Linked DNA regions of Nothobranchius furzeri. The protein of the gene in region 1 purifies or fractionates together with the protein of each later gene. This does not show direct contact. Links are inferred from orthologs where the notes say so. Each region holds a gene or a part of one and is shown in the gene's direction. Other genes may lie near its edges. The genes, in order: chd4b, adnp2b, kpna2, ssrp1a, ehmt2, sap18 and numa1.

What was found.
Region 2: the proteins of chd4b (region 1) and adnp2b purify together in Homo sapiens (affinity purification with mass spectrometry; 3 studies listed by BioGRID and IntAct, with this or other methods). This does not show direct contact. The link is inferred for Nothobranchius furzeri from reciprocal best matches to the Homo sapiens genes CHD4 and ADNP2.
Region 3: the proteins of chd4b (region 1) and kpna2 purify together in Homo sapiens (affinity purification with mass spectrometry; 3 studies listed by BioGRID and IntAct, with this or other methods). This does not show direct contact. The link is inferred for Nothobranchius furzeri from reciprocal best matches to the Homo sapiens genes CHD4 and KPNA2.
Region 4: the proteins of chd4b (region 1) and ssrp1a purify together in Homo sapiens (affinity purification with mass spectrometry; 3 studies listed by BioGRID and IntAct, with this or other methods). This does not show direct contact. The link is inferred for Nothobranchius furzeri from reciprocal best matches to the Homo sapiens genes CHD4 and SSRP1.
Region 5: the proteins of chd4b (region 1) and ehmt2 purify together in Homo sapiens (affinity purification with western blotting; 3 studies listed by BioGRID and IntAct, with this or other methods). This does not show direct contact. The link is inferred for Nothobranchius furzeri from reciprocal best matches to the Homo sapiens genes CHD4 and EHMT2.
Region 6: the proteins of chd4b (region 1) and sap18 purify together in Homo sapiens (affinity purification with mass spectrometry; 3 studies listed by BioGRID, with this or other methods). This does not show direct contact. The link is inferred for Nothobranchius furzeri from reciprocal best matches to the Homo sapiens genes CHD4 and SAP18.
Region 7: the proteins of chd4b (region 1) and numa1 purify together in Homo sapiens (affinity purification with mass spectrometry; 3 studies listed by BioGRID and IntAct, with this or other methods). This does not show direct contact. The link is inferred for Nothobranchius furzeri from reciprocal best matches to the Homo sapiens genes CHD4 and NUMA1.

Annotation. Positions count from the first base shown.
Region 1 is NC_091745.1:73,996,871-74,000,687, reverse strand, and holds part of chd4b (chromodomain-helicase-DNA-binding protein 4), read left to right. Parts: intron 1-231; coding exon 232-311; intron 312-401; coding exon 402-624; intron 625-1,179; coding exon 1,180-1,233; intron 1,234-1,372; coding exon 1,373-1,537; intron 1,538-1,612; coding exon 1,613-1,721; intron 1,722-2,003; coding exon 2,004-2,136; intron 2,137-2,235; coding exon 2,236-2,431; intron 2,432-3,817. UniProt on the Homo sapiens protein: ATP-dependent chromatin-remodeling factor that binds and distorts nucleosomal DNA. Acts as a component of the histone deacetylase NuRD complex which participates in the remodeling of chromatin.
Region 2 is NC_091759.1:18,869,773-18,874,354, forward strand, and holds the start of adnp2b (activity-dependent neuroprotector homeobox protein 2b), read left to right. Parts: upstream 1-1,615; 5' UTR 1,616-1,839; intron 1,840-2,656; 5' UTR 2,657-2,668; coding exon 2,669-2,776; intron 2,777-4,582. UniProt on the Homo sapiens protein: May be involved in transcriptional regulation. May play a role in neuronal function; perhaps involved in protection of brain tissues from oxidative stress. May be involved in erythroid differentiation.
Region 3 is NC_091752.1:67,643,586-67,647,925, reverse strand, and holds kpna2 (importin subunit alpha-1), read left to right. Parts: upstream 1-1,228; 5' UTR 1,229-1,312; intron 1,313-1,538; 5' UTR 1,539-1,582; coding exon 1,583-1,639; intron 1,640-1,724; coding exon 1,725-1,865; intron 1,866-2,035; coding exon 2,036-2,127; intron 2,128-2,212; coding exon 2,213-2,481; intron 2,482-2,552; coding exon 2,553-2,647; intron 2,648-2,801; coding exon 2,802-3,065; intron 3,066-3,179; coding exon 3,180-3,413; intron 3,414-3,499; coding exon 3,500-3,682; intron 3,683-3,767; coding exon 3,768-3,917; intron 3,918-3,989; coding exon 3,990-4,079; 3' UTR 4,080-4,201; downstream 4,202-4,340.
Region 4 is NC_091741.1:91,658,091-91,661,907, forward strand, and holds part of ssrp1a (FACT complex subunit SSRP1a), read left to right. Parts: intron 1-1,791; coding exon 1,792-1,977; intron 1,978-3,817. UniProt on the Homo sapiens protein: Component of the FACT complex, a general chromatin factor that acts to reorganize nucleosomes. The FACT complex is involved in multiple processes that require DNA as a template such as mRNA elongation, DNA replication and DNA repair.
Region 5 is NC_091759.1:8,513,477-8,517,293, forward strand, and holds part of ehmt2 (histone-lysine N-methyltransferase EHMT2), read left to right. Parts: coding exon 1-43; intron 44-203; coding exon 204-499; intron 500-585; coding exon 586-652; intron 653-1,072; coding exon 1,073-1,155; intron 1,156-3,817. UniProt on the Homo sapiens protein: Histone methyltransferase that specifically mono- and dimethylates 'Lys-9' of histone H3 (H3K9me1 and H3K9me2, respectively) in euchromatin.
Region 6 is NC_091754.1:55,847,983-55,851,999, forward strand, and holds sap18 (histone deacetylase complex subunit SAP18), read left to right. Parts: upstream 1-1,503; 5' UTR 1,504-1,611; coding exon 1,612-1,683; intron 1,684-2,829; coding exon 2,830-2,939; intron 2,940-3,013; coding exon 3,014-3,136; intron 3,137-3,233; coding exon 3,234-3,390; 3' UTR 3,391-3,487; downstream 3,488-4,017. UniProt on the Homo sapiens protein: Component of the SIN3-repressing complex. Enhances the ability of SIN3-HDAC1-mediated transcriptional repression. When tethered to the promoter, it can direct the formation of a repressive complex to core histone proteins.
Region 7 is NC_091753.1:34,155,243-34,159,059, forward strand, and holds part of numa1 (nuclear mitotic apparatus protein 1), read left to right. Parts: coding exon 1-1,069; intron 1,070-1,196; coding exon 1,197-1,406; intron 1,407-1,510; coding exon 1,511-1,704; intron 1,705-2,266; coding exon 2,267-2,404; intron 2,405-2,690; coding exon 2,691-2,796; intron 2,797-2,875; coding exon 2,876-3,050; intron 3,051-3,207; coding exon 3,208-3,344; intron 3,345-3,443; coding exon 3,444-3,722; intron 3,723-3,817. UniProt on the Homo sapiens protein: Microtubule (MT)-binding protein that plays a role in the formation and maintenance of the spindle poles and the alignement and the segregation of chromosomes during mitotic cell division.

The DNA of each region.
Region 1 (3,817 bases):
AATCAAAAGTTTTAGACACATTCACTTAAACTTCTAACAGTATTTTTGACTTCTGGTCTTTCAGAGGAGCTTTAACCAGACTGGTGCCCTCTTGTGGATGCAGTCAGAAAAGCTGCATTATCGAGCACTTTATAAACGTTCTTGTTTTAAGATGTAAATCGTAAAAATCTTTTTACAAGTGGAAAAAAAAAACCCAAATACATCTCTTGAATATTTTTTGCTTTTTTTCAGAAGATTTTTCTAAATCAGATGAGCGAGATGACATGAAGAAAGAGGGAGAGGACAGCAAAGCTAAGAAAGATGATCCAGAGGTGTGTGTGTGTGTTTCCTAGTGCCACTGTAATATGTTTATTAATGATACAATGTTTTAATTAATGTCAAAACTTACTTCTCTTATTCAGATTATTGAAATCCCAGATGAGTCTGAAAAGTCCCCCGTTGTTAACAAGAAAGATGCTGCTGTGGAGAAGGAAGACAAGGAGGATGGAGAGGAAGGAAAGGAGAAGGAAGCTGAAGACCTGAGCAGAGAGAAAGAAGAGAAGTCTTCAGCAGCGATGGTTGCTTCTGTAAACAATAAGGGGGGAGGTTCAGATGGAAGGATGGATTCAGAGGACAAGTGTAAAGGTGAGAAGGTTATGATACAATCATTAAAAACGAGACATTCACAATAATTGTGTGAGGTTTTTTCAAGATTGTGTGTTTCAGGGGTGGCTAAAATTATTACTTTTATAAACAAAACATTTAATGTATTAGTTGGCATCAATATGTGATGAGCATTTCAACCAATATGGCATAAAAAAGAAAAGCATCTCGTACTAAACCGTAGCAGTAGCAAAAGATTTTGCTCTTCAGGTCAGTTTAGCCACACTTTTTGTAGCCTGAGCAGGTCTACCACTGGCTGGACAACATAGAAACGTTGTTTGTTGCCCTGATTGGTCCTAGCACTTCGTGCGGAGATGGCTTGGAAGACAACCATAGATTCTGCTCCACAACTGAGCTCTGTGTGTGGGTCTTGTCCAGATTATAGGATGACTAGCTAGCCTATCCCATATTGCACCTTTAAATCTAACAAATTAACAGATGTTATGATGGAATTGCAATAAACTAGATAAAATACATCTATATCATGTTATTCTCAGAATAATGGCCTTATGCCAGTCTCCATTTCTCTTCTTTCAGCTGAGGACGGCAAATACGAGAAGATGGACACCTCACCACCAGAGGAGAGAAAAGGTTCAGACTAAGTTTAGGTCGTCTTTATGTTTGAATAAAAGTTTTCTCCACACGACTGAATCTGTGAGATGGTTAATATTATAGTAAAGGTCATCTTAAAGGTCCAGGAAACGTTGCAAAACGAAACATTTCGTTGCAGATCCAAAGGAGGAGAAGGACGGCGTGAAAACAGAGGAGCCCGGAAAGCTGCAGAATGGAGAGAATGCCAAAGATGGAGGAGCAGCTGCGGTTAACATCAGCGAAGAGAAGAAGAAAGCCACCAAGCAGAGATTCATGTTCAACATCGCAGACGGGGGCTTCACAGGTGAACACGCTTTCCTTTCTCTCCTCGTTTCAACGCCGTTGACCTCTGTTCTGACCTTTCTGCCCTCCCACTCAGAGCTCCACTCCCTGTGGCAGAACGAAGAGAGGGCCGCCACTGTCACGAAGAAGACCTATGAGATCTGGCACCGTCGTCATGACTACTGGCTGTTGGCTGGAATCATACAGTATCTTTTCTAACTGATGGGGTGGTCATTTTTATCATTTCCTTACAGATTAACATCCTAAACGAGCTGTGGGTTTAAGTTTACAAGTTAGTTTTACTTACAAGCTACAGCAGTTTGATAAAAAGGGTCTCAAAGGAAAAAGAGTAAACGATTCGCATGCGACCTTGTTTTTGCTCCTTTAGAAAGTAAGCTACCGGGTTGTGAGACATGACATCACCTGGAATGTTTTGTCTCTGGAGTCCAGAAATAGCAGCGCTGTTGTCCTTGACAGTGTTGTCTCAGACACGGGTACGCTCGATGGCAGGATGTGCAGAACGATGTGAGGTTTGCTATTATCAACGAGCCCTTCAAAGGAGAGATGAGCAGAGGAAACTTCCTGGAAATCAAGAACAAGTTTCTGGCTCGCAGGTTCAAGGTGAATCCGGCGCCTCGGTTCTGCAGAATCCAGCTGTGTGCGTGTCTGCTTGCGTCATGTCTCACTGGTTAATTTTGGTCTGTCCGTGGCTTCCTGAAGTTGCTGGAGCAGGCTTTGGTGATCGAGGAGCAGCTGCGTAGGGCGGCCTACCTGAACATGACAGAGGACCCGGCCCACCCCTCCATGGCCCTCAACACTCGCTTCAGTGAGGTAGAGTGTCTCGCCGAGTCCCATCAGCACCTCAGCAAGGAGTCCATGTCTGGAAACAAGCCTGCCAACGCGGTGCTCCATAAAGGTGTGGTTAATAAAGAAAGCACAAGGTTCTCATGGACTTCAAAAGAACAGATCTGTGATGTCATCACTAGTAAACTATATACACCACAGGTCAATTTACTTTTTAAAGGTCCTATATTATGCAAAGTCCACTTTTTGGAGCTTTTGTCCATGTTTTATTATTTCCTCATGAAAAATACCCCCTGTACAGGTTTTTGTTTGACACTTGCGTTTTCCTGTCTCGGCTGCTTCTTCCCTTCAGCTCTGCAAATTTTTGCTGAGCCATTTTTTTCAGCTATAATAGGGAGCCTAAGTGACGCCCATCTACTTCCGGACCACGGGTCCCCGGAAGAATGAAAAAAATGAATGCAAGTCAACGGGGCTAAAAATGCTATTTTCTAATCCCGTTTAGCATGTGCCATGGATTTCACATATGATGTCAGTGAATTTTAAAGATGCATTCTGATGCCAAGAAAGAGCTTATTTTCAAAAAAGGGCAAAAGTTATTTTAGGGTTTGTGTGAAATACATCAAGGACTACAAATGCGCATCACCAAATTGATGTCATCAATCCAGACATGGAGTAAAGCAGAGGTAAAGTGGTTTTAAGTTCAGCAATCTTCAAATCCTTCCTCCGGGGGGAAAGATCCACCATAAATCTGGCCATTTGGTAAGTAGCAGCTACGCTAGGGGAGAGGAGATTCTGTGGTGACGTCATTTATGCGACGTCTGATTTGTAGTCAAGCTGATAAATCTCAACGTACGTGACTAGCGTGGCTGAAACACACCATTACTTTTCATTTAAATTGAAGTTTAACATATGTGCGATCCAGGGCGTAAGGCAAAGCGGATGAGACAATAGCTCTTAGCCCCGTTGACTTGCATTCATTTTTTTTCGTTCTTCCGGGGACCCGTGAGCCGACTGGAATGGGAGGAGACCTGGGCTCCCTGTAGGTTGTTACTGCATTACAAAGGCCCACTCCTCACCATCCAGGTAGTCTCTTGAGTCCTGATCCCCCCCTGGACTGTTAACACTAATGCCCAGTGTTTCTGTGTAGCTAGCGGGGAGTTTAATCCACAGTTGTGAAGGAGTGACTTTTTTTCTCATCTAGTCTGAACTTTAAATAATGTTTAAAACCCAAAATGTATTGTAGTCTGTGAGAGGTACAGAATCCTTGTCCAGACTTTCTGAAGAAGAGTTTAATCAGCTGAAATGGTTGGATTTTATCTTCAGGAGCTCTCAGAAACTGAGCCAGAATGTAACCGTAGTTTCACAGACTGCTTGTTGAACCTTCGCCATTACCAGAGTTGGTTTTCCAGGGTATCCGCGGGTCCTTAAAAAGTCTTAATAAGTCTTAAATTTGCTTTTCCAAATTTAAGGCCTTAAAAATCCTTAAAAATGACAAATA
Region 2 (4,582 bases), on another chromosome or scaffold:
CACATTAAAAAAGATGAAAAAAAGTCTATTTCTGTTAAAGAAAAATCACAGAGAAATCAAAGTTTTTTTGCAAATTGATCAAATTGAGTTATGTCTGATAACACTGACAATATTAGTCAACCAGGAAAAGAGCAGCATATAATCGCTATCTGAATCGCTTATTTCTCAGTAGGGCCACGGGGAGCTGGTGCCTAACATCAGGTGAGAGAGGCAGAGGACACGTCTCCAGTCCACCTGGGGACAGTGGAGTCCCCCATAGACATGCAACTTTTTAACATGTGGCAGAAAGGCGTTCATGAGGAAAACATGCTAACCTCATCCAGGAAGGCCAAAGCCTGAATTCAAACGTGCAACTTTCTCATTGCAAGGCAGCACCAACTGCCTTCCCATGCAACCCACAAGAATTCCACGTTCAAATATAAATGGTGAGTCATACTGTGTTCACTCTAAAGCATTTGCACATTGATTGGTAAACATCTGACTGTTTTGACTCAGTGGCTCAAAAGAAGTCTGCTTGTTTTCAGTTCTTTTATTTTGCCAAGGATATTTTCTCAGCTTTATCTCTTCTGCCTCTTCTAATCAGCATCGTCTTGGTGTGCAAGAAGCCACAATGGTGGAAGTGACGCCATTGGTAAAAACTCTAAATTATGTTGGTACAATACAAACACGTGAGATAGCCACTGAAATTATGTAAGGGTATAAAAATAACATGAGTCATTTTGTCATCGTGAGGCATGGCACCAGGTGGTATGAATGCAAAATAATAAAAGGATTCAGTAGTCATTGTTTGGCCATAATTGGTAACAAAAGAAGTGGCTCAACACTCCACCACATGGAAGCATTTATCGGAGAAAAACGTAAAATTTACCTACGTTAATTATTGATTCGTTGTTAATGTCGTCTTTTTTTGGGTAAAAGATCAATTAATGACCTACATGAACTCAGGTAGCGTAAACATTTTCTAGACGGCAATGTCAGAATATGACTGTCGATTGTTAAAAATTGTCATAACTTTTTAAAAATCGAATCGCAATTAATTAAAAATTGTCAAGTGTCGATAGCGAGAAAGAATGTTTGAATAGGCAAAGTTATTAAAAAGTTATGGCCTTTATGTTATGCTAGCAAAAACACATCTAACATATCAGTCTATTGTTTAAATCATGGGCTAACATGATTGGCTAAAAAAAGTAGCAAGATGTGACATCAGCTCATAAGGACCACCCATTAGCTCATTTTCTCGACAACTGATTGGTTTGGCTTGGCCATGTACCACGTGACTGCCAGTAGAGGTCGGTGTAACCACGCCCCCTAAGTAGCTATTCCTCATAGAATCCATAAAGTCAATAAAAGAGTTCCGATATGAGATTAAATTTAAAGGTTAAATCATACAACGCACTGTTTGGCTATCTCTGAACAATGTTGGAAGTTACAGTGAAATAATTAAAGAAGTTATATTAGTTTTGGGGCAGAAGTCTCCCATTGGTCAGTTTGTGCTGTATGCAAATAAGGCCGCCTACGTCAGATCCTGAACTTGAGCGCCATTTTTTCCTCAACAGGGGAAGAAAGGGACAAAAGCTAAGAGCAAAAAAAAAAAAAAAAAAAACTAACTTATCACCGGAGTTCGTTTGCTATCATTACGGTTCGCGTTGGACTCCGGTGTTGACGCAACGGTGTATACGGGAGGGTGGCGCTCCGGTAAGTGTGTGGTGCGCGGCGCTGGGAGCAGACGCAGCACACCGACTCACACAGGCGGGCCAGTGGAAGCAAGCGGTGATCGTTAGCTCCACTGCCGGTGGCACAGCGACGACGAACGTTAATCAGCGCTGAAGATCCAACGAGGTAAGGAGGCTGTGGAGAATCCTCACGCAGGAAGATGCGCTGTGACCGCCTCAATGACCCCGCATCCTGTAACGCTGTCAGGAGGGGCTTCTTACTTTAGTGGCTCACACACACACACACACACATTTTTTTTTTTAATTTTAGCATCGATCGCAGTTTAGGTATCCGTTCACCAAAACCATACGGATTCTTTCAGTTTTTTCCCACAGTAATTATTATTTGCCTTTTTTGCAGTAATTAAGTATTTTAATTATTTTTTAATTCGTATTAATTAACATCCACTTTAGAAATCTGATCATTTAAATAAACCTGCTAATTCAACATTAATTACAAAATCCTGTTTATTTTGAGCTGCACCAGATAATTTGATGTATTTGAAGCAGCAATAAAAAGTAGAAATCAACATTTTATTTTACACTTAGACCATGTTGGGGAAAATTGCAACATGGCTTATGTTAAAGTTAGAGATGCAAAAATTCAGAGTTTTGATGCTGATATTGATCTCTGATGCAAATATGGGCTTATTCTGATTTATCTTGCACTGTAATTGATACAATTTTTTTCTGATAAAGTATAAACACCAACATTGCAAATGTGTTATTGCTAAACCAAGTGAAAACTTAGTGATGGTGAGTTCATGGACCAGTATAAATATTAATAATTATAATTTGTTTAGGCTACCTGGCGATATAGCTTTGGTGGACTTTCAAATTGGCAAATAACCTGTTGAATATTGGTCATATTTTCCTCTAGTAAATGAGGTGAAATGAACAACTTCAAATGTTCATCTAAAGTTGTTCTTTTCTTTCTCTTTAAGTGTGTGAGAATCATGTATCAGCTTCCAGTTGGAAATGTCGAGAAGATTCGAAAGGGACGCAGAGCAGTGAAAAACATCTTAAGTGAGATTGGCTTAGAGGACTGCCAAACCTTCTTAAAGGTATGCTTTTATTTTGAAAAATGATCCCCAGGAATTGGTATTATTTGTGTCTGACTGTTTTTTCCCCAATTTTACCTCGTAAATACAAACAGTCTTTTATTTTTTTGCATATTACAGATGGTTTTAAATGTTTTTTGTGGCTATTATGCTGATTAAAAAAAAATCTGGTATTGTTTATAATTTCACCGTTTACACAAACTGGGTGTAACAAGTTACATGTGGGCCCTGTGTGTAGAAAGATTATTTTGATTACATTATTAATGAACGATTCACCGCAAACAAACATTTTATTGAAACAGTTCCCGCAGTTTCCAGTTCAGCTAACCTTTATTCCAAAACAATCCTTTTTTATTTTTAATTGTCACATGGCAATTTAAAAGACAGTTATGTATGTCAATGTTCCTGATTTCTTCTTCTTCCTGGTTTTAGCTACCAGTTACAACAGCGTATTAGGGTCACGAAACAATGACTATAAAAAAAATGGACAAACTCCACCCATATATTTCTGTTGGGCTATTTTGAAGACAAATGGGTGGTTCTGATTGCCGCCATCTTGGCTGTGTCGCACGTGTCATCACACCCAGACAATCCAAAAATGGGAAAAGAGGTGGGGCAGTGAGGGTGGGAGCTAATGATTGACACCCATGACCTCTGAACCAATGTAGCTACAAGCTAACCTGAAACTACATGGAGCTTGGTGCCAAAGGTGGTAGCTACGAACTGCCTGAGCAAACCCGAAGCTAACCTGAAGCTAATGGAGGTTTTCGGACGCTTTTAGCCAGAAACGGCTCGGCAGCCCCAGGTGATGGCAGCAGCTGGTCGCCTGCCTCACGTAGCTCCCTCGAGGAGGCTGGAGCGTAAGATTCTCAGATTTTTGATCGTATGGCTGCCGCTGCTGAAGGGGGAGAGTCTGGCGGTGACCTCAAAGACCATCGACTGCGATAGATCAGCTTTCCCGGAGCTAGCCGCTAACGCAAGCTATAACAGTTGAATCTAATTATTCCTCATTTCAAGCATTTAATTACACCTAAACGGAAGAGTTGACTGAATGAATGAATTCTTTATTGTCATCATGCAGAACATGAAGAGGTTACGAAGGCCTCTACTGACGTGATGCCATAAACAACATAAAAGCAACATCTCTCAAAGCAGCTTCAATAAGAACAACACTAAAATATTCAATAAAACAAGCTAAAAAATACAATTTTGGCTAAAATTAGCGTCAATAAATCAATAAATATTTACAACCCCCCTCCAGAGTTGTCATGCATGTAAACTGGATCTATTAAACTTAAAATGTTTTTTGAACCACTCAGGAAACATTTTTATTTCTGCTGTGAAGTAGGCATTTTTAACATGGGAGTCTATGAGAATTTGCTCCTTTCTGGTGCCAGCCCCTAGTGGATGAGAGTGGAACTGCAACAATTTTCACTTCCATGTTGCATCAGAACAATCAGAAAATGGCTGCCCCTTTGTCAGGAAGGAAAAAAAAGGACAAAATGTTGAGATAAAAATCAGAACGATGAGAGAAAAACAATCAAATAATATTAAATAACATTAGATTGTGTTGCCATAATAAAGTCAAGAATTTTGAGAAAAAATGCTATTTTGGGAAAAGCCAAAATATTATTTTAAGGGGATAATTATAAAATAGCTTTTTTAAGACAATAATCTTTCCCAAAATAAAATCTAAATATAAATGAAAAAGATCCAGTTAAAACTGTAGTACATACACACCTCAAGACATCGAAAATACATTTGAAAGTATATAAATATTGTTCACAGAAATAATTTTTAATAAGCTTC
Region 3 (4,340 bases), on another chromosome or scaffold:
GTCAACCAGCACTGCTGCTTTCACGGCGTTTTTCAGACAGAGCTGCCCTCTGCACGTTTTCAGCTGCAAGGCGGGCGTCTCGGGACCTGTCTTCATAAGAAGCTCTGCACTTGGGAGGAGGTGGTGCGAGGACAGCGGAGGCACTTCAGATAAAGTTTACTTCTGGAGCTGAGCTCTCGATTCCGTGTAATTTTCTTTTAACCCTTTTTTTTTTTTGTAAAAAAAATCCTCAGGCCTTTCTTGTGGTCTTCATGTCAGCTCATAACAGAAACTTCAAGACTGATGTACAATGGCTGAGCTTTACTGAGCATCATGTACCATGAGATTCGTCTGAATTCAGACGACTATCTTCCCCGCCACTCATTTCCACTTATCTTTTTAGTCTGAGGTGGCATGAAAGAAAGTTTACTAAATATTTGGACATCAGTAGTCATCTTGGTTAAACTTCTATATATCCTACTGAAAATATGGTAAAAGGCTATTGTAAGTGAATTTGCAGTAGTGACTGAGAAGTATGAAAATTATGTATTTGAAGGTTCCTGCCCTTTTTGTATAAAAATGAAATAAAAAATTCATCAGTTCTTGACTTGATTTTTTTGTGTTACAAATGAAAAATATCTGAACTACACTGCATCACTCTCAGCTCGTCCATAGGAATCTCCATCCCTGACTAAAAAATCTCAAAATTACAATATATATTTACATAATTACTATAAATGTGTCAGATTTGCTTAATTGTGTGTGCCTAAATGTAATCTGAATTATTTATACATTATTTTCCCCTGCTGTCTCAAACAGAAACCGATTCTGACTTTAATCTCAGAATCCTGACTTGGTTTCTCATAATTCTGAGAAAAAAATTATAAAAAATGAATACACACATTTAAAACACTATTAGACACTCATTTATACAGTTTATCAGCAAAAAAAGTTAATTTAGAGGTTACTTGCTCTTTAAATATTAAAAAAAAACCTCACTCGACTTTAGTAAAAGTTTGCTGCTCCGTTTTAAATTAGATTTAGTTTTTGGCTTTCGCTAACTTTGGTGTGTTGGACATTTATTTTCTAGCCTACAAGAGTGAAAAGATTTATTTTTAACACTACAATCTAACCCAACAAGCGCTGTTATATAAGTCTCGCGATATTCTCGTAACGTAACGACATTTCCGGTGCGTGTTATGAAATTTTTGAACAGTCCAATGAACGCTCAGGGCTCGACGTTTGGGCTCGAACGGGCCAATCAGAGGCGAGTCTAGTAGGAATTTAAAGGTCTGTGCGGTATTTTCTCCATATCACAACTGTTCCAGTCCAGGTGAGTGAGGTCTTGCTGCTCATTCGGAAAGTTTGAAACGTGTTTACGATTTCTTCCCCTTCTGTTTCGTCTGTCCAAGCCGTGATTTCACTATTTTAATTAACTAGCAATGAACTAATTTCAAACAGGAAGTAAAGCGCTCGGCGGTTTCTGACGGCTCATGGTGTCACGAGGCAGCTCGGAGCAAATCGATTAACCTTCGTGTGAAATAAACGTGTTTCCGCAGGAATTGAACCAACTTTGCATCTACTCAAGTCCACTAGCTTGAAAATGTCCGAGAACGTCGCACGTCTGAACAAATTCAAGAACAAAGGCAAAGACGTTAACGTAAGACTCGCTGCACCCAGCGTCAGTGATCGGGGTAGAATGCGCAGACTTGTGTTGAACTTGAATTCGTTTGAATCTGACGCAGGAGCTTCGGCGCAGGAGGGCTGAGGTGAACGTCGAGCTTCGAAAAGCCAAGAAAGACGACCAGATCTTCAAAAGGAGGAACGTGTGCACAGAACCGGAAGAGGCCACTTCTCCTCTCCAGGAAAGAACTCAGAACGGCCAGGTGAGACTTCAGGTGTCATTCGTTAAGGACGTGGTCTGCATCTTAAGCTGTAGGGGGGTGAATAGTCCCAGTATCTGGTGAAAGTTGCAAACCCCGAGCCTCGTACTTTGATTTTGAGCCCTGTTTCTTAACTTTTTCCACTAAATTATGACCCACTTTTGCCCCATTAGCAGAATTTAAGACAATGGACCGTGGAGGAGATCGTTACTGGGGTGAACAGCGGTAATCTGGAGTCTCAGCTTCAAGCCACCCAGGCTGCACGGTAACAGTCTTTTTTTTTAACGTTGCAAATTCCAAAGTAAACCAGTATTGATGCAGTAACTTCAACCGTGATGTTCTGTCATCAGGAAACTTCTGTCACGAGACAAGCGCCCTCCCATTGATCAGATGATCAGCGTTGGTCTGATATCCAAGTTCGTGGCCTTCCTCGGCCTGACGGACTGTCCTCCTATCCAGTTTGAGGCGTCCTGGGCTCTGACGAACATCGCCTCTGGCACATCGGATCAGACGGCTGCTGTTGTGGAGGGTGGGGCCATTCCTGCCTTCATTAACCTGGTCCTATCCCCCCACCAGCACATCAGCGAGCAGGCAGTCTGGGCTCTTGGAAACATTGCAGGTAAGTGCAGAGTTATTCTTTAGGCAAGTTTTTTTTTAACCTAAATAACTTAAATTTTTTTATTTGTATAGGTGATGGATCTGCTCTCAGAGATATGGTAATTAAGCACGGTGCTGTGGCACCTTTACTCAGGCTGCTGGAAGTTCCTGACTGGACTGTCTTTAGTGTAAGTCTTCTCGGATTTTACATTTTCCAAGAACTCCATTTGGGAAATGGTCGCATTCCTGTAATCGTTAATCCCTCCCGCCACTAGGTGGTGTCCTAACCCAATAAAATAATTCACCCCTTTAGTCTGACACCTGCTCTTCTGTTCTCTGTAGCCTGGCTACCTGAGGAATGTGACTTGGACTATTTCAAACCTGTGCCGTAACAAGAATCCTTCTCCTCCGATGAGTGCAATCGAACAGCTCCTACCTGCTCTCATTCGTCTCCTGCATCACAATGACCTGGAGGTGCTTGCTGATGCATGCTGGGCCGTGTCCTACCTGACTGACGGCTCCAACGACCGTATCGAGGTGGTGGTCCAGACGGGGCTGATTCCTCGCCTGGTGAATCTGCTCGGCTTTGAGGCGCTGTCTATAGTTGTAAGTAACTTTTCTGGCAAGTATGGTTTCTGTGGGCTTCAGCCGTCTTAAACCTCGTGTCCTTGCACTGAGACACAACTTGGACCCGGTTGTTAATGGATCATCCTCCCCCAGACTCCGGCGCTGCGTGCCATCGGAAACATCGTCACCGGCACAGACGAGCAGACTCAAGCGGTGCTGGACGCCAAGGCGCTGACCATGTTCCCTCACCTGCTGCGCCACAAGAAGCCCAACATCCAGAAGGAGGCAGCCTGGACTCTGTCCAACATCACAGCTGGGAAGGACACGCAGATCCAGGAGGTCATCGACGCAGGCCTCGTTCCATACATGGTGGAAATGCTCGTTCAGGTATGTCGTCGTGTCACAAGATTGTTGAGTAAACTTTATTTTTCTTCTAACAGTTTAGAAATATATTTTTATTTTTGCTTCTCCAGGGTGACTACAAAACTCAAAAAGAAGCGGTGTGGGCAGTTACAAACTTCACCAGTGGGGGCACTGTTCAGCAGGTGGTGTATCTGGTGCAGGTCAATGTTCTCGAGCCTCTTCTGAATCTGCTCTCCTCCAAGGACAGCAAAACGGTCCTCGTCATCTTGGACGCAATAACTAATATTTTCATGGTGAGCACATGTGTGAATGGACTGGATCAGCTGATTTCTCGTGTGTGGCTTCACGGTCCTGAAACTTGTCTGTCGGATTCGTCAGGCTGGGGATAAAATCGGAGAGGCCGACAAGCTGAGTCTGATGATCGAAGAATGCGGCGGACTGGACAAGATCGAGGCGCTGCAGTCTCACGAGAACGAGATGATCTACAAAGCTGCCCTCAACCTGATTGAGAAGTATTTCTCTGAAGAGGTGAGTGTGGCAGTGAAGGTGTGACCAGTTAAATGTTTGTTTGTCTCATGGACTCGTGTGTTTTTGTTTTAGGAGGAGGAGGTGCTGTGTGTGGCTCCTGAAGCTACAGAGGAAGGGTTTGCATTCCAGATCAGTGAAAACCAAAGCACTTTCAACTTCTAGATGACCCTTTTTTCTGTTTACTGTACCTGTGTCCTATGTTTGTGTTCTTCTGCTGTTTTCCTGTATCTAATGTACGGTTTTAACCTCTACACACTTGTAAATAAAGTTTATGATGCTTGTTATGGGCTGTGTGTGTGTGTGCTACAAGCTACCCTGCAACACCTAGGCTGAAGTGGTTTTGATGACGGATTTTAAATATAAAAACTTAATATTTGGTTTAAATGGCTGCTGCCTTTTCAGAGGCTGCAAGTGAAAAAAAGT
Region 4 (3,817 bases), on another chromosome or scaffold:
ACAGTAAAATGAGGCTGAAGGTTTATTATATTCCTCTCCCTGTTGTCGGGCGGCGCTCAGATCAGCTGATCAGCAGGTCTGAACGCTGTGCACACAGGCAGCGTAGAGCGAGAGAGGGCAGCCATTTTCAGACTCAAACTTTTTTATAAGCAAGAGAAATCTTTGAAACTGTGGAGGAAAAATTGTTCAAACTAAAACACAGGAGATGTCCAAAAGGTTTGAAAGCCTGTGTGTTCATTATGTGTTAAAGAAAATCAAATGGCATTAAAGGGAACTTTGTTGAGCGAGCTATTAACGGAGATAAAAGCTCGTTAAGCCAGCATGTTTTACTGAGGATGCTTTTCTGCTCAACATCCAACCCAGACCAGGTCTGTATAACCAACATTGTCCCATCTAGAGGCTGACCGATAGATCGGACCGATAATTTCAAGTTTTTTCTATATCGGCCGAAATTATTTTTAAAAGCCGATTAAAACAAATAAATAAATAAATCAGGTGTGCCCGACTGCTGCCACTACTAGACTGAAGAAAGGACCCAAAGAACCCTAACAGTTTTTTTATGTTTTGAGTAGGGCTGGGCAATAAATCTAAAATTTATCGTTGTCGAAATTTCTGACTCTTATCATGATAATAAGACTCGTGTTTTATTACTGAGCTCTGTTGTGGTTTATTATTAATAAAATGTGACAATCGGCTGAAACTGTTGTGAAAAGTTGGTTCAAACTAAATAACAGGAGATGTTCAGAAGTTTGTAAGCCTGTGTTCATCATGTGTTAAACGAACCGCATCTCATCTGCGTTAACGTGCTTTTACACAGATAGTCGCCCAGAATATTGAACTGAGGATGTTTTTCTACTTAACTACTCAAACCAGGTCTGATTAACCGTTGTTACCCTGTCTTCTTTACGATCACGTCTTCATCCACCTGCTGCAGAAACGGCTGCTGCGGTCACGGAAACAGGGATCTGTGCTGCAAACCTGAAATGAATCTGGTGTTTCCGGGACAGTCTTTACTGCAATAATCAGATTTTTACTTTGCTTCCACAAAATGCAAGTTCTGGATTAGATATTACTGAAACAGGGACGGCTTGCCATCCATTTTAAAAGCTGGCGCTCGTTAATTAGGTCGTCATTTTAAAAGTCAGTTAGTCCAAATGACGACGGGGAGGCTCGCTAGCTGTTGCTCACATGCGCAGTGGGCATTATTTTACTCCCAACAGTCCGAATGGCTGTGTACATGCACGCCAATCGGAATGATGATTGGACAAAACCACCTCTCTCAATAGGATTGAAATTTCATACCGATCGGGCCGAATCGGATCAGAACGTTCCGGTTGACATGTTTACATGCAGAAATTTTGATTTGATTGGGCGTTCAGTCTGATTAATTGCGCACATGTAAACGTGGCTTGTGAGTGTTCAGTTGTCTTTCACAATCAATGTGCTGCTAAAATGTATATATATATATATACATATATATATAATCTGCTTTAGATATCGGCAACAAAATTCTTTAAAAATCGGTATCTGCATCGGCCTTAAAAAAACCACATCAGTCGGCGTCCAGTCCTATCCTTATTTTGAGCCTGTCTTTATCCACCCGCACCGTGCTGCTGCAGCTTGATGACATTCATGTGCGATCGTACTTGGCTGTTAGTCAAAATCTTTACCAGTGGCTAAATTTATCATCCGTATACCGTTTATACAGTGGCATTACTAGCTTACAGATAAGCATTTGGAAATGCTTTTTCTGGACTCATGAACCCATCATGTCTCATCTCGTCTCTGCAGAATGACGGACGGCTGCGTTTCAGCAAACAGAACGTGGTTTATAAGAGCAACAAGACAGGGAAGGTGGACAACATCGCTGCAGGAGAGCTCAACCTGGCTCAGTGGAGACGGGTGTGTTTGGGTCACGGCATCAAACTGGGCACCAGCACGGGTCACGTCTACAAGTACGACGGCTTCAGGGACACGGTGAGTTCTGCTGCTGTATGACGGGGAGTGTAACACGAGCAGGAGGAGCCCCGCTCCATCTGACATTTCCTCTGAGGTTTCTCTGGTGTGTGTGTGTGTGTGTGAATGGCGTTCTGCTCAAAGGCCCTAATGGGATTAATGAGGGGAACCGGAGCCAGCGTGTGTGTTCTATAAACAGTGCAATCATCGGCTCTTCTGAGCCCGTGTTTATATCAGCCCACTAAAACAAATTGGCTCCCAAAACAGACCAAGAGAAATTTGTATTATTGCATTTTTTTTAAATTTCCTCTGAGCGCAGAGGAAAAATCAACACACTAGTGAGATACAGGGATGGAGGTGTGTGTTTAACCTGAGGAGTGTGTCTCTGGGGGTTAATCAGCTTATTTATGAGGGGAGATGGATCCTCTCGTCCCAAAGCCCAGGCTGTGAAGTCATTGTTTATTATCCTCCAGTTAGCGACGGTAATGGAGAACTGGCAGAAGGCTGACATTTTGATTCATCTGGTCTAATAAATTGTCCTTGAGGAAGATGTGAATCCCTGCCTGAGTATTTGAGAGCATCCGGAGGTGTTTACTTGTTCAAGGCTCAGCCTTAGACCAGCGAGAGGATTTCAGATTCTCTGTTCTGTTTGTGGGAAAATGCTCTTCTAACATTGTTAGAGATCAAACTTCCTAATTTAGCCAGAACTCTGGAACATGTGAGGATCCTGCCTCCAGGCTCCCACCTTCCTACACTGATTGTGCATCTGTGAGATCCACCAGAACCAGCCAGATGTTGGATCAGCCGGGGCTCTGTAGCTTTGTGCCAAACAGGAAAGGTCCTGAGTCGCTTCAGAGCAACAGTGATGGTTTTTAAAACGTAGCCAGATCATAGATATTTACACGGTGAGTCTGAAGTATCTCAGTGGGGTTGGGTTCCCTTACCACAGCTGGAGTTTTACCCTCATCACTGCTTTGGCTTCAGATATCCTTCATGTTCTCCCAGTTTGACAGCTGTGTTGATGAATAATCAGACTAAGGAAATTCAGAACCAGTAAAAGCTGTTGGACATTTCAAAGAGCAAAACACTTGTAAAATCAGGCTATTTGTTTTTGTTTTTAAAGAAAAACAACATTTATTTTTTTTTAGATTTGAGTCAAAAGTTTCATTTTTCAACACCCAAAAATATCCAAAACTTAGAAATAATCTCCAGTATATAGACTACGTTTCCTAATGATTTCACTATTAATGGTAACTTAGCTGAAGCAGCAAAATAGTTAAAGAAAACTTTTAATTCCTGATAAATGTAGGACAAATCACTGTGTGTGTGTGTGTGTGTGTGTGTGTGTGTGTGTGTGTGTGTGTGTGTGTGTGTGTGTGTGTGTGTGTGTGTGTGTGTGTGTGTGTGTGTGTGTGTGTGTGTGTGTGTGTGTGTGTGTGTGTGTGTTAGTATAAAACATGCTCCACAAAACAAACTGATGGTATGTTTTTACATCCGTTCACACACATTATCCTGTCTAAACAACTCCATAGTCCAGGTCAACAAACAAGCTGATTAAACAAACTCTCACCCTCTCACACACTCTCTCTCTCTCTCTCTCTCATATATTCATATATTGGCTTCAATAACCTTATGAAATGGCAGAAATCCAGGTGCGTACATGAGTTTCCAGTCTCATTCTGCCCTTGCATTTGCACGCCACAATCAGTTCCATATGTGTTTGTACTATTGCGAATGTAGGGGTGTGTGTGGTTGTCGTTGGTTGTGAGTCCTCTCCAGTTGTAAGCTGCGGCGGACCTGCAGGATAAATAAACGATCTGATTGTCAGGGCCTGTGTGGAGGGGCTGGATGGATTACATTC
Region 5 (3,817 bases), on another chromosome or scaffold:
CAGCGCTCTCCTGCTTCCTCCCCACCTAACAAACCTGCTGCAGGTGAAACTCAAAACCAGTCTTTGACTAAGCTCCTGACTTAATCAGGTTCTGAAGAGAATTATTAAAATTTGACTGTTTTTTTAACGTAGTGATCGCTTAGTTTAATCTTTAGTAACATGTTTTTTCATCTTCAGTAACAGTTTGTATCTCTTCTTAACAGGTCACGCAGCAAAGTCCATTTCCTCAATGTCATCTTATCCTTCCACCTCTTCATTTTTTTCCCCTGGTCGGGCAAAGATGAGCGTTTCCGGGCCGTCTTCTTGTAAATCCGTCCTCCCACCTGGCCCTTCCTCCTCTTCCTCTTCTTCATCCTCCTCCTCCTCCTCCTCCTCCTCCTCTTCTTCCTCCTCCTCTTCCTCTTCATCTGGCTCAGCTTCGTTGACACCTTCTGTCTCCCCGAGTCCACACAAGATCCACCGGGCCCGTAAGACCATGAACAGGCCTTCACCCGGCCAAGTAATGACTTCTGTTACACATTTTTATTCCCACAATTGTTTGTTGTTTTACTTTTTCTGAAAGGTTAGCATTTTTTTATTCGACAGGTGAGTTACGCTGAGACTCCTGCTACGTCGGGTTCCTCCACCTGCTTCTCTACTGACTCTGAAACAGGTAAGTTCTAAACTTCGATCATATTTACTCCTCCGATTGTTCTCCAGCACTCGTAATTACAGGTCCTCTTCTACTGTGTGGTTTTTAAATTAATTCAATGTACGCCGATCACTTCAGCTGGTTTTTGGATTGTTCGTACCGACCTGCAGCTTTTGGTTGAATCAGAAAACTAGTTTTCATGCAGAAGTCTCAGTTGGCACCACTCTGCTCAGGTGTTGCATGGCAGAATGAGCCAATCTTTGCCTCCTGATTCGGCTATATCTCTTAAACACATCGTTGCAACACCAACATGTCTTTTAAAACTCAGAAAATGCTCCTGAAATCTTGTTTTCCATGTAAGTTTGACTGTTTAAAAAACTAAAAAGGCTTTTTTTTCTCTTATAACTGTCACGCTTTGTGTTGTTTTTCTGTTTCCACCAGCTGCTAGAAAGAGAAAACTGGGTCATGTATCAGAGAGTAAATCTGAGAAGGGCGACAGCGTTTCAGAAAAAGGCCAAACTGTGGTAAGTTGATGTCTTCGTGTTTGATTTACTGGGGGGGGGCCGTAAGCATTTGAACACCTGAGGAATCGGCAGAATTCTGGCTCAAAGACATTTTACTCTAACTTCAAAGTCCACCTCTACTCCACATATTAATCTAAACTGGCATCACCTGTCTAAGCTTCTTAAGCACATCTGTCCACCTCACAGTCAGTCAGTCAGACTCCCAACTACTAACCATGGGCAAGACCAAAGAGCTGTCAAAAGACACCAGAGACAAAGTTGTGGACCTCCATAAGGCTGGAAAGAGGTACGGGGCAATTGCTGGGCAGGTTGGTGAAAATAGATCAACTGTTGGAGCAATTGTTAGAAAATTCAATTCAAGTTTATTTATACAGCGCCAAATCACAAGAGTTGTCTCAAGGCACTTCACATAATAAAGCATTCCAACACAGGCCAGGGGCCTCATTTATCAAGCTTGCTTACGCACAAAACGGGGTCGGAAAACTGCGTAAGCAACTTTCCACGCAAACTTTGGGATTTATGAAGGAAAACTTAGCGGAAAAATGTGCGCAACTTTAAGTTGACTAAGGACCTGGCTTACGCACATGTTGGACATGGAGAGCACCTGCAGTGCTGCTGCTGAGAAGGATAAAATTATGAAATCCTGCATTATTATCACTTGTACTGCTTCGTTTTCACACAGAACAAGACACCCCACATGCACACACATGCGCGTGCACACACGAGCTCGCGCACACACACACAGCCTGAAGTGCAGAATACGGAATGCAGAATATCAGCAGGGGGACAGATTGAGGCAGAATGTCGTGCGTCTGTGACAGTGTGTGTGTCTCGTCACTGTGATAAGATTGATCATGTGCCCTGGCTACTTGGACAAGAGAGATTACTGTTTGGCTGACTGGTTAGCGCGTGTGACTTTCACTCGGGAGTCGGGATCGACTCCTGTTTGGATCATTTTTTTATATCCGCCACAGGAACTCATCATTAAGCTCCTCGTGATTTTTATCTTGAAAGGCGCTATAGAAATGATATTTTCTCCTTCTTCTTGACGGCTTCAGCAACACTGTGCCACTCCGTGGATTTTCTCTTATTTGTTTTGCAAAAGCACTTCCTTTCATTTCGCCACCTCAACTTCTACTTGTGAAATTGGGCTTCCTTGGTCTGCCTTGATCTACGGTCGCCATGTCATTGGCGGAGCACTGCAACAAGCCGGCTTATGTATATGCATGAGATCCACAAGGCACTTTGCATTGAATATTTATGGCAGTAAGTGGGTGTGATGAGGGCGGGATGTGACCAAAAAGCAGCTGAGAACATTTGTAGATAGTTTCCGATTTATGGAGCAGAGATTGCGTGCAGCTGTGCGTACTCCATGTTTGATAGATCACAAACCTACTTGGTGTAAGTACTTTTTTTTTTTTTTTTTGCTGAGCTTAAGTACGGTTTTAGTAAGGATTCTACTCAATGTTTGATAAATGAGTCCCCAGTTCATTAAGCCAATCAGAAAAAAGTTTCCTATATAAGGAACCCAGCTAATTGCATTGAGTCACTGACGCTACAGCGATCCTCATACTAAGCAAGCATGCAGCGACAGTGGAGAAGAAAACTCCCTTTTAACAGGAAGAAACCTCCAGAGGATCCTGGCTCAGTATAAGCAGCCATCCTCCACGACTCACTGGGGATCAAGAAGATAGAGCAGACACACACACACACACACACACACACACACACACACACACACACACACACCAAGTAATGTTTCCATGGTTACATTGTGATCCTAGTGATTCTATAATTAAACGGGTAAACTAGTAGTAGCACATTCTATGTCAAAGAAAGTAAAATGTTATTATCAGGAGAGGGAGAATGTTTAAGTGGTTAGCAGCAGTGTGCTAGACGATGGCCCCCTCCATGAGGGCACCACAGCTCAGCAGAACATCGATGTAGCTTCTTCTGGGGAGAAAAACACTTAGAGAGAAAATAAAGTTAACAGCTGAAACAGCAGGAAATAATACAGTTAAAGAGCAGATTGTAGAAGAAAGTAGTCGAGTGTGGAAAGTGGTCAGTGTGTCCTCCAGCAGTCTAAGCCTATAGCAGCATAACTACAGAGCTAACTCTGGATAACCTAGCCTTTTACCCCCAAATTCCACTACCTCCGCTCCGCTCCGGTCCGGTCCGCCCCCGCCTTCCGCAGCCGCTCGCTTCCGAACTCAATTTTTACTGGTACCCGCTCTACAACGGCTCCGCTCCGGTGCGGAGACCTGAGGTGGGCAAACAAGCATGCGCAGGATTTTCGAGATCTTGCGATACAGTCCGAGCAATAAACGCGGAAGTTAGATCCAAACACCCGTTGTGTGGGAGAAGCATCAAAATGAACTGTTTAATCTGCCCATCATTTGTGTTGAGAGATCAGCAGTGTTTGGATCAACAAAGTGTGACTACTTTGATAGTAGAAACTGTATTTATGGCTTACTTTTGTGCATTTAAACTTCAGCTGCCACTGATAGTTGTTAAAAGTTGTTAAACCTGTGCATATGAAACAAAAAACGCCTTTTGTTTATCAATTTATTGTGAAAAACGGAAGTTGTGCTCGCTCCTTTTCCTGTTGGGCGTTTGTGATTTCTGTCCATTGACTGCGGAGGTGCTCCGGCGTCCGGCAAAA
Region 6 (4,017 bases), on another chromosome or scaffold:
TCATTGGCGTGCATTAAGCAGAGAAAGCATCTAAGGAGATTGCAGAAACAACTAAAACTGGGTTAAGAACTGTCCAACGCATTCTTAAAAACTGGTCTGAGTCCAGATGGACCCTGTTCCAGAGTGATGGTGCATCAGGGTAAGAAGAGAGGCAGATGAAGTGATACACCCATCATGCCTAGTACCTAGTGTACAAGCCTGTGGGGGCAGTGTTATGATCTGTGGTTGCTGCAGGTGGTCGGGTCTAGGTTCAGCAACAGGATGTGCTCCAAGAATGAGGTCAGCTGACTACCTGAATATACTGAATGACCAGGTCATTCCTTCTTCCCTGTTGGCACGGGCATATTCCAAGATGACAATGCCAGGGTTCATCGGGCTCAGATAGTGAAAGAGAGGTTCAGGGAGCATGAGACATCATTTTCACACATGGATTGGTCACCACAGAGTCCAGACCTTAACCCCATTGAGAATCTTTAGGATGTGTTGGAGAAGGCTTTGTGCAGCGGTCTGACTCTACCATCATCAATGCAAGATCTTTGTGAAACTTCAATTCAACACTGGATGGAAATAATTCTTGTGCAGAAACAATGCCACAGTAAATACATGTCGTAATCAAAGCTAAAGACAGTCCAACAAAATATTAGAGTCTGGGAACTTTTAATTTGGTGGTGACTTATTGTTTTGGGCCGTGCAGTGTACAAATGATAAATAACTCACACTTACTGTATATAGCGCTTTTCTGAGTCAGAGAACTTCAAATCGCATTACTCTATAGTGAATATGCAGAAAGAAACCAAGCTAAGTGAAATTAAAAGACGTAAATGATTATATTTCAACGGAGTTTGAATGCAAAATAACCAGGAATCCTGGATAAACTCAATACATTTTTTCGGCTCATTTCATAGGACAATTTGGGTTTTGGCCATCAGATGGTAATGTAACTACCGGTACTTCACGCTATGGTTTTGGCAACCCAATATAGCATATAAATCTCATTTCTCATTTTCTATTTTCTAATAAGAATTTTACCTTAAATTCGTACATTTTGATATTTGAATTAGTCTTGTGTAGGCAGCAAGAGTTGTTTTTATTCGCCCTGTTCTTGCCGTGTGTAATGTTCAATGTTCTAACAATCTTCTGAATTGAAGTCACTATTCAGATTAAAGTGTAGTGTGCTGAGTTCAGTTTCAGAAATTTATGTATTCTAGTTTATATTCTTTTTGGTGAGAAGTGCCAACAGAGAATACTAATGAGTCTGTCACTGAAACTTGAGAGAGCGGTTTGCTTATGTAAAACAATAACTTGCCATCCCTGTAAATTCATGCTGTGTTTTTCTTCTAAACGCTTTTTAAAGTTATTTTTAAAACACAGGATTTTTTTTATTTTTGCCATGTTAACAGTTTCGATCGCTTCTCCAGGAGGTAAAGAAAACCTTTGCTGTGTTTAAAAAATAACCTAAAAACGGAGTAACGTGAATAACTTGCCTTACTTTCACGTGACCGGAAAAGCCTACGCTTTACGTTATGTTCATGTTGCCGTAAAAATATCATCGCTGAAAGACGCAAGTTGCAGCCAGACAGCTTAATAACATTTTAACTGTGTTAAACAAAAATGGCCCTTGAGTCGCGGATCACTCAGGAGGAAATTAAGAAGGAGCCCGAAAAGCCCATCGACCGGGAAAAGGTTAATGTTTGGATAATGTTCAGTAACTCGCTCATCGTGTTGTGTGCTTCTAGCTAACCTTGTTAGCTGGTTTTAAACACTAAAACGGCAGTCGGGAGGAGTAAAAGCTTAAAAAGTGTTTTAAAACGGTCATTTACAGCTATTTAATGTAGCCGTTCTCAATTCTGTGTCGTAAATGTTTTATTTGAACTAAATAAATTAAAATTGTGTATGATTTATCTCGACGGCACCGTCTAGCATGCTAATAAGCTAATGCTAGCAACGCTTTACATGAAAAGACCTCTAAATGTTTTCAGTATTGTAAATGAGTCGGTTTTCCCTGAACAGATAAACATGGTTACATTTGAAAGTTGAAAATAATACTTTTAAGCCTGCATTTTTATTGTTCTTAAGGCAGATAAATAAACTTAAAAAAAGCAAGTATTTTTATTTGTGCTTTTTAACGCGCAAGCACAAGAGTAATAAACAGCAGAAACACAAATAAAACTGTTAAATAAATAAACGAAGGTAGATGTAATTGTCTATTATTTACGTTTAGCAGGAGAAAAAGGGTTGACCATAAGAAAAAATAACGGATATTTGTGAATTATAAATTGATTTTATTTGCTGTAGACTTATACCTGCGAAAACAAATAAGTTTCTATTGGATAATTTACAATAATAAAGAATTGATATAAATAAATATTTTACAATAAGAAATGCTTAATAGAAAAGGGCAATCATATTTCAAATATAGTTTAAGATAACTTTTCTTATTCTGTAAAAAAATTGTAATTTCTGTTTTTGGGTTCAGCCTAATAAAAACATTTTTCCCACATGTGCATTAAAAGGTTGCAGAAAAGTTCACTAAATTTCTTAATCAGGAACCAGATGGCAATCTTAAAAAGCCATTTCTTTCTATCAGCTGTAGGTACTTATTACGGCCACCAGGGGGCAGCGAAGACTCACTTCGGAACTCACTTTGCCCTGATGAAAACTTTCAAAATAAGGTTTATGTAAAAAAAAAATCCAGTTGAATCATTGAAATAACACTGACATTTACATCAGTTATTCTAAATGTGTTCATATATTTAAATCACATGTAAAGAATGTGATATTTATTTGTACTTTTGCTTATGTTTAACTTAGTTTTCTTGTTTCCTTCAGACCTGCCCCCTCCTCCTGAGAGTATTTACTACCAACAGTGGCCGACACCACAGAATAGAGGAATTTTCTAGAGGGAACGTTCCTTCCAGCGAGTTGCAAATCTACACTTGGTAAGACTTACAAACCATTACGTTTCTGGTATATGCTACAGAACCTCTGAAACAAGTGTTTGTTTACATCACAGGATGGATGCTACTCTGAAGGAACTAACTGGTTTAGTGAAGGAAGTGTATCCAGAGGCCAGGAAAAAGGGGACCCACTTCAGCTTTGCCATAGTCTATCCAGAACCCAGAGGGAAAATGTACAAGTAAGTGTCGAGCAACACAGATCGGGGTCGTAAAATCATACTATTGTTCATGAATTCCTGTGGACTGAGTTTGTGCATCTCTTTTTACAATGTTCAGGTTAAAAGAGATCGGCAGTACCATGTCTGGCAGGAAGGGTTTGGAAGACTCCATGACGCTGCAGTCCCAGCGGTTCCAGATTGGAGACTATTTGGACATAGCCATCACACCGCCCAACAGAGCCCCGCCCCTCAACCAACGCATGAGGCCCTTCTGAACGCACATGAAGCGATACATCTGTTTTTGGGTTCTCTTGAGTAGTTTAGCCTCATTTTATAATTCTTCATGTTTAATAAAGCTGTTTTTTCCCTATAGACTGTTGTTGAGTAGTTAATATCAATAATGTGTGTTTGTGAAGAGTTAATTTGCAAAAACAGACCAGTTTTGATCAAACATACCAAACTCACTTGAATGATAATCCTTAATTTAAAAAGTTTTTTTTTTTTTTTTTTTTGCAAATTTGTATAGAGACTTCTCTGTTTCGTTATATAAACTATGTATTTAAGTTAAGGTGCCATCTCCACATTTGACCCATCGCCATAGGGATGGGTGAGCTGTAATTATGGCTGTGCTCAGGAACCAGTTGGTGGTTTAACCCCCAATCCAACCATTTTAAAGTTGAGTGTCAAGCAAGGAGGCATTGGGTCCCATTCTTAAAGTCTTTGGTGTGACACGACTGGGATTTGAACCCCGAATTCCAGACAGGGCGGACACACTACCACTAGACCACTGAGCTGGTATTAAGTCATTTTAAAGAAAAAGATAGACCACGGATAACGTTATTTCAAGCTCTTTGGTGTCTACAAGCTTAAAGTAATGGACGTATGCTTCAACAAACTCAAAT
Region 7 (3,817 bases), on another chromosome or scaffold:
GATGACCTTGATACAAAATCAAAGCTCAGAGCAAGCAGAAGAGTTACACCAGGAGATCAAAGAAGTGAAGGAAGAGGTTGAAAGTCTTCGTTCCTCTCTGAGAGCAGCTGAAGAAAGCTTACGATCCAAGGAAGAGCAGTTTGCAGAGCAGCAGCTACAGAGCTGTCAGCACCTGGAGGCCCTGCAGATTGAGGTGAACCGATTGAAGCAAGAGATCCAGACCAAAGAACATGAAGCTGATCTGTTAAAATCTGATCACTGTAAGGAGACAGAAGTCCTCAGTGAGGAGATCAAAGCTCTTAAAAATCAAGTACACAGTTTGATGGAGTCTCTGAAAACTGCCACAGAAGAACGGCAGATTCATGAGAACCTGTTGGCTCAGAAGGACATGGAAATGTCTCAGGTGAAGGACTCGTTTAAAAGTAAGATCGAAATCTCAGAGCAAGAGATCAGAAGACTTGGAGAAGAGATCCAGACCAAGGAGGACCAGCTGGTCTCCCTAAAGGAAGAGAGCTCCTCACATTCTGACGAGCTGCAGCAAGAAATCAAAACACTTTCTCAAAGACTCAAAGCTAAAGAGCAGGAGTTAGATGACACCCAGCAGGAATCGTCTCAAAAGATGAACTCCTTCGAGCAGCAGCTTCTGTCAGTAAACATGGAGCTGACACAAGTCAAAGAGACGCTAGCAGCAAACCAGAGAATGAAGGAGGCAGTGCAGGAGTTACATGTTTCCTCATTAAAGCAGAAGGAAGTAGTTGTTCAGGAAAAGGAAACACTTTTGGTCAGGATCCACCAGGCTGAGACCGATCGGAAGGCTCTGGAGAAACGGGTCGAAACCCTAATCGCTGAGAAGGACAGGCTTGCTCGAGCCAACGAGGCCATGGAGAGGGAAAACAAAACCTCATGCAAACTGGAATTGGTGCTGCAGAAGGAGCTTGAAATCCTAAAAAGAGAGAGAGAGCAACTTTTGATGGAAAGAGAAAAGGCTGAAGAAACTGAGTTGGCGATGAGAGACCTGGAGAAACGGCTTGCTGCTAGATCAGAGGCTGCTGAACATTATAAGACTCAGGTTGGTTCAAACACAAATCTAGTCTTGGCCCCAGTTTTAAAACCAGAATTGTGTTCACTCTTGTTTTAAATGGTGTAGTGAGTTTTTTTAACTGATTATTGCAGTGAATGTGTTTGTTTTTCCACAGATGGAGAAAGCAGTCAGCCATTATAACAACAAGAAACAGCTTCTTCAGAAAAGTGAGGAGGAAACGGCGGAGCTCAGACGTGCTTTAGAGGTGAAGAACCATGAAGTTAATGCCATCACCATGGACAAAAGACTGCTCCAAGCTGATCTAGACAAGGTCCAGACCAATGAGAAGAAACTTTTGAGTACAGTGGCCAGTTTAGAGACACAGGTTTGTTGTGTATTTAAAAGAAAAACAAGCAATGCCTCTAAGGTTACTGTTAGAATGAAAAAGCTGCTGAATTTCAGTCTCTATGGCAACATTTCTGTCTTTAGTTGGCCTATGCTGACCAGACGCTTCGGGCACAAAATAGGATTCATGGCAGTGAGGCTGGCTCGTCTAAAGAGTCGTTTTACTTGGCGGTTCCCACCATTCGCTCGGGTGTTTCCACCAGATCGCAGATGAAGAGGAGCATGAGTTGTGACAGCCTTGGTGAAAGCTCCCTGGAAGACACTCTGAACTCTACAAGGTAATGTCTGGGTCATCAGGTGTGCTTTTAGTTCAGGTAGCTACACATCAAGACTGAATGATCAAATAAGGAATGACTTTAAAAAAAAAATTGGTAACTCTTCCTTTTACAGTCCCTTAATTACCACACTTGCATGGTAATTACACGGTAAGTAAAAGTGTAATATTGTTTCTGAGTTCTTAAACGGTTATCATGTAACTCGAGTTCAGTTCTAATTTTTATTAATCATTCCCAGTAAATGCGGCTTCACACAGTAATTACACTTTTTTTTACAATTATACACTTTAATTACACAATAATACACTTTAACTATCTATGTAATTACAATGTAAGTACTTAGAGGACTGTAAAAGAAAGTGTTACCAAAAAATGTAATACAAATAACAAATTCTTTCTATTTTTAATCATCTTTACAAGATTGGATCAATTATTATTTTTTATTAAATGGCACAAATCATTTGGGTAGAAGACACTTAACAGCTGACTGATCCTGTGTGATGATTTGTTTTTGGGGATTATGGGAGAATTAATGATTATCTTTCACTTTTCTTAAACATTACAGGAAGCTGTCAGCACCCGAGGAGTCGAGCACGCCACTCGTCCGCAGCTCAGAGCGTCTAGCAGCCAAACGCAAAGGTCCTCAGTCTGAGTCGCAGGAAAGCTTGTACTTTACTCCCATTAACACCAGACAGACCAGAAGGTATGCTGTGAGGATGTCCGATGACACGATTGGCTTCGACTTCTTTTTGCACAAAGAACTGCTGCTCCACAGATGTTTTATACTTTTCGTTTCTGTTTTGGACTTTTCTGATGATATAAAGAACTTTTAGCATTAGAAAAATATATTTTCAGGTCAGATTTGAAATAAATTCTATATAAAGAAACAAAAAAGAAGCTGTGTCCCAAACAAACATTTTTCATTTATTGTAAACATTAATGGATTTTTGTCACCGTAGCTTGTCTCTTGTTTATCTCCCATCACCTAGGGGCAGTTTAAGTTCTGACACGGTTCTGGAGTCGGCTCAGAAAAACCCGGCATCATCTGCCAAACGACGCCGGACCACCCAAGTTGTAAACATCACCATGAGCAAGGTGGATGATTCGTTGATATACAGTCAGTTGTTTAAAGCACGGAGGCCTCATGTTGGAACGTTTGTGCTGTGGTTTGTAGAAGATGCCAGGTTCTTCTGAGGAAAGTGAGACGTTGGGTTCTGGCTGCTCTGTTGCCCACTCTGCTCGATCCCTGTCTATGGAGGCTTTTGACACGCCTCATGGTAAGTCCAGTGCTGCTAGTGACCAGCTCATCGGTCTTCCGGGGTACAGACGGAGCACCATTCATTCACAGAGTAAGTTTGTCCCTGGACTTCTTATCATTTATAATAAATGCATTATTTCTGCCTTTTTATTTAGTTTCCTTTTAAAGAAAGTTAGAACTATGTGGTATCGTCTGTGTTATTTGATAAAAAGCTTGACTTTGATTTTCCTGCATCCTTTTCCCTTCAGCCGCTGGAACGTTCTGTGTTGGAGCAGAAAACGAACCAGACGGTGGTCCTGATGACTGGCTGAGGATCGCAGAGCTCCAGGCCAGAAACAAGGCCTGTCTCCCACACCTAAAGAGCAGCTACCCTGTAGAGTTTGAGGTGAGGAGAGAGAAAAACCTGTTGGTTCAGAGGATGCTAATTAGATTTTTACATCAAATCTTTATTCACGTGAAACTCCTCCCATGTTTATGTCTAAAGACTAGAGGGACTGGCGGATTCGTTTTCACTGACGAGGAGCTCCGCACCGGGGACCCGTCTGACACGATCAGACGGGCATCGATGATGCCAGGCCAGCTGCAGGACTCCCTCGTGTCCCATCGGCAGTCTCTCATGTTTGGTCAGGCAGGTGTTGGAAGCCAAGCTCATCGCATGTCCTTGATGCCGGGACAGCTTCCGTCCAAAAGACCCAGCCAGAAAAGCCCAAGGGGTTCAAAACAGTCGTCTTCCACACTGTCCTTACCCCAGACTTCACCTGAGGTTGGTTTTCAGAGTCACACAGAAATATACTGTTATTGTCACATAAAGGTGCAACTTGACTGAAGTGTGCTGTGTAACACTAAAATAGACAGTCA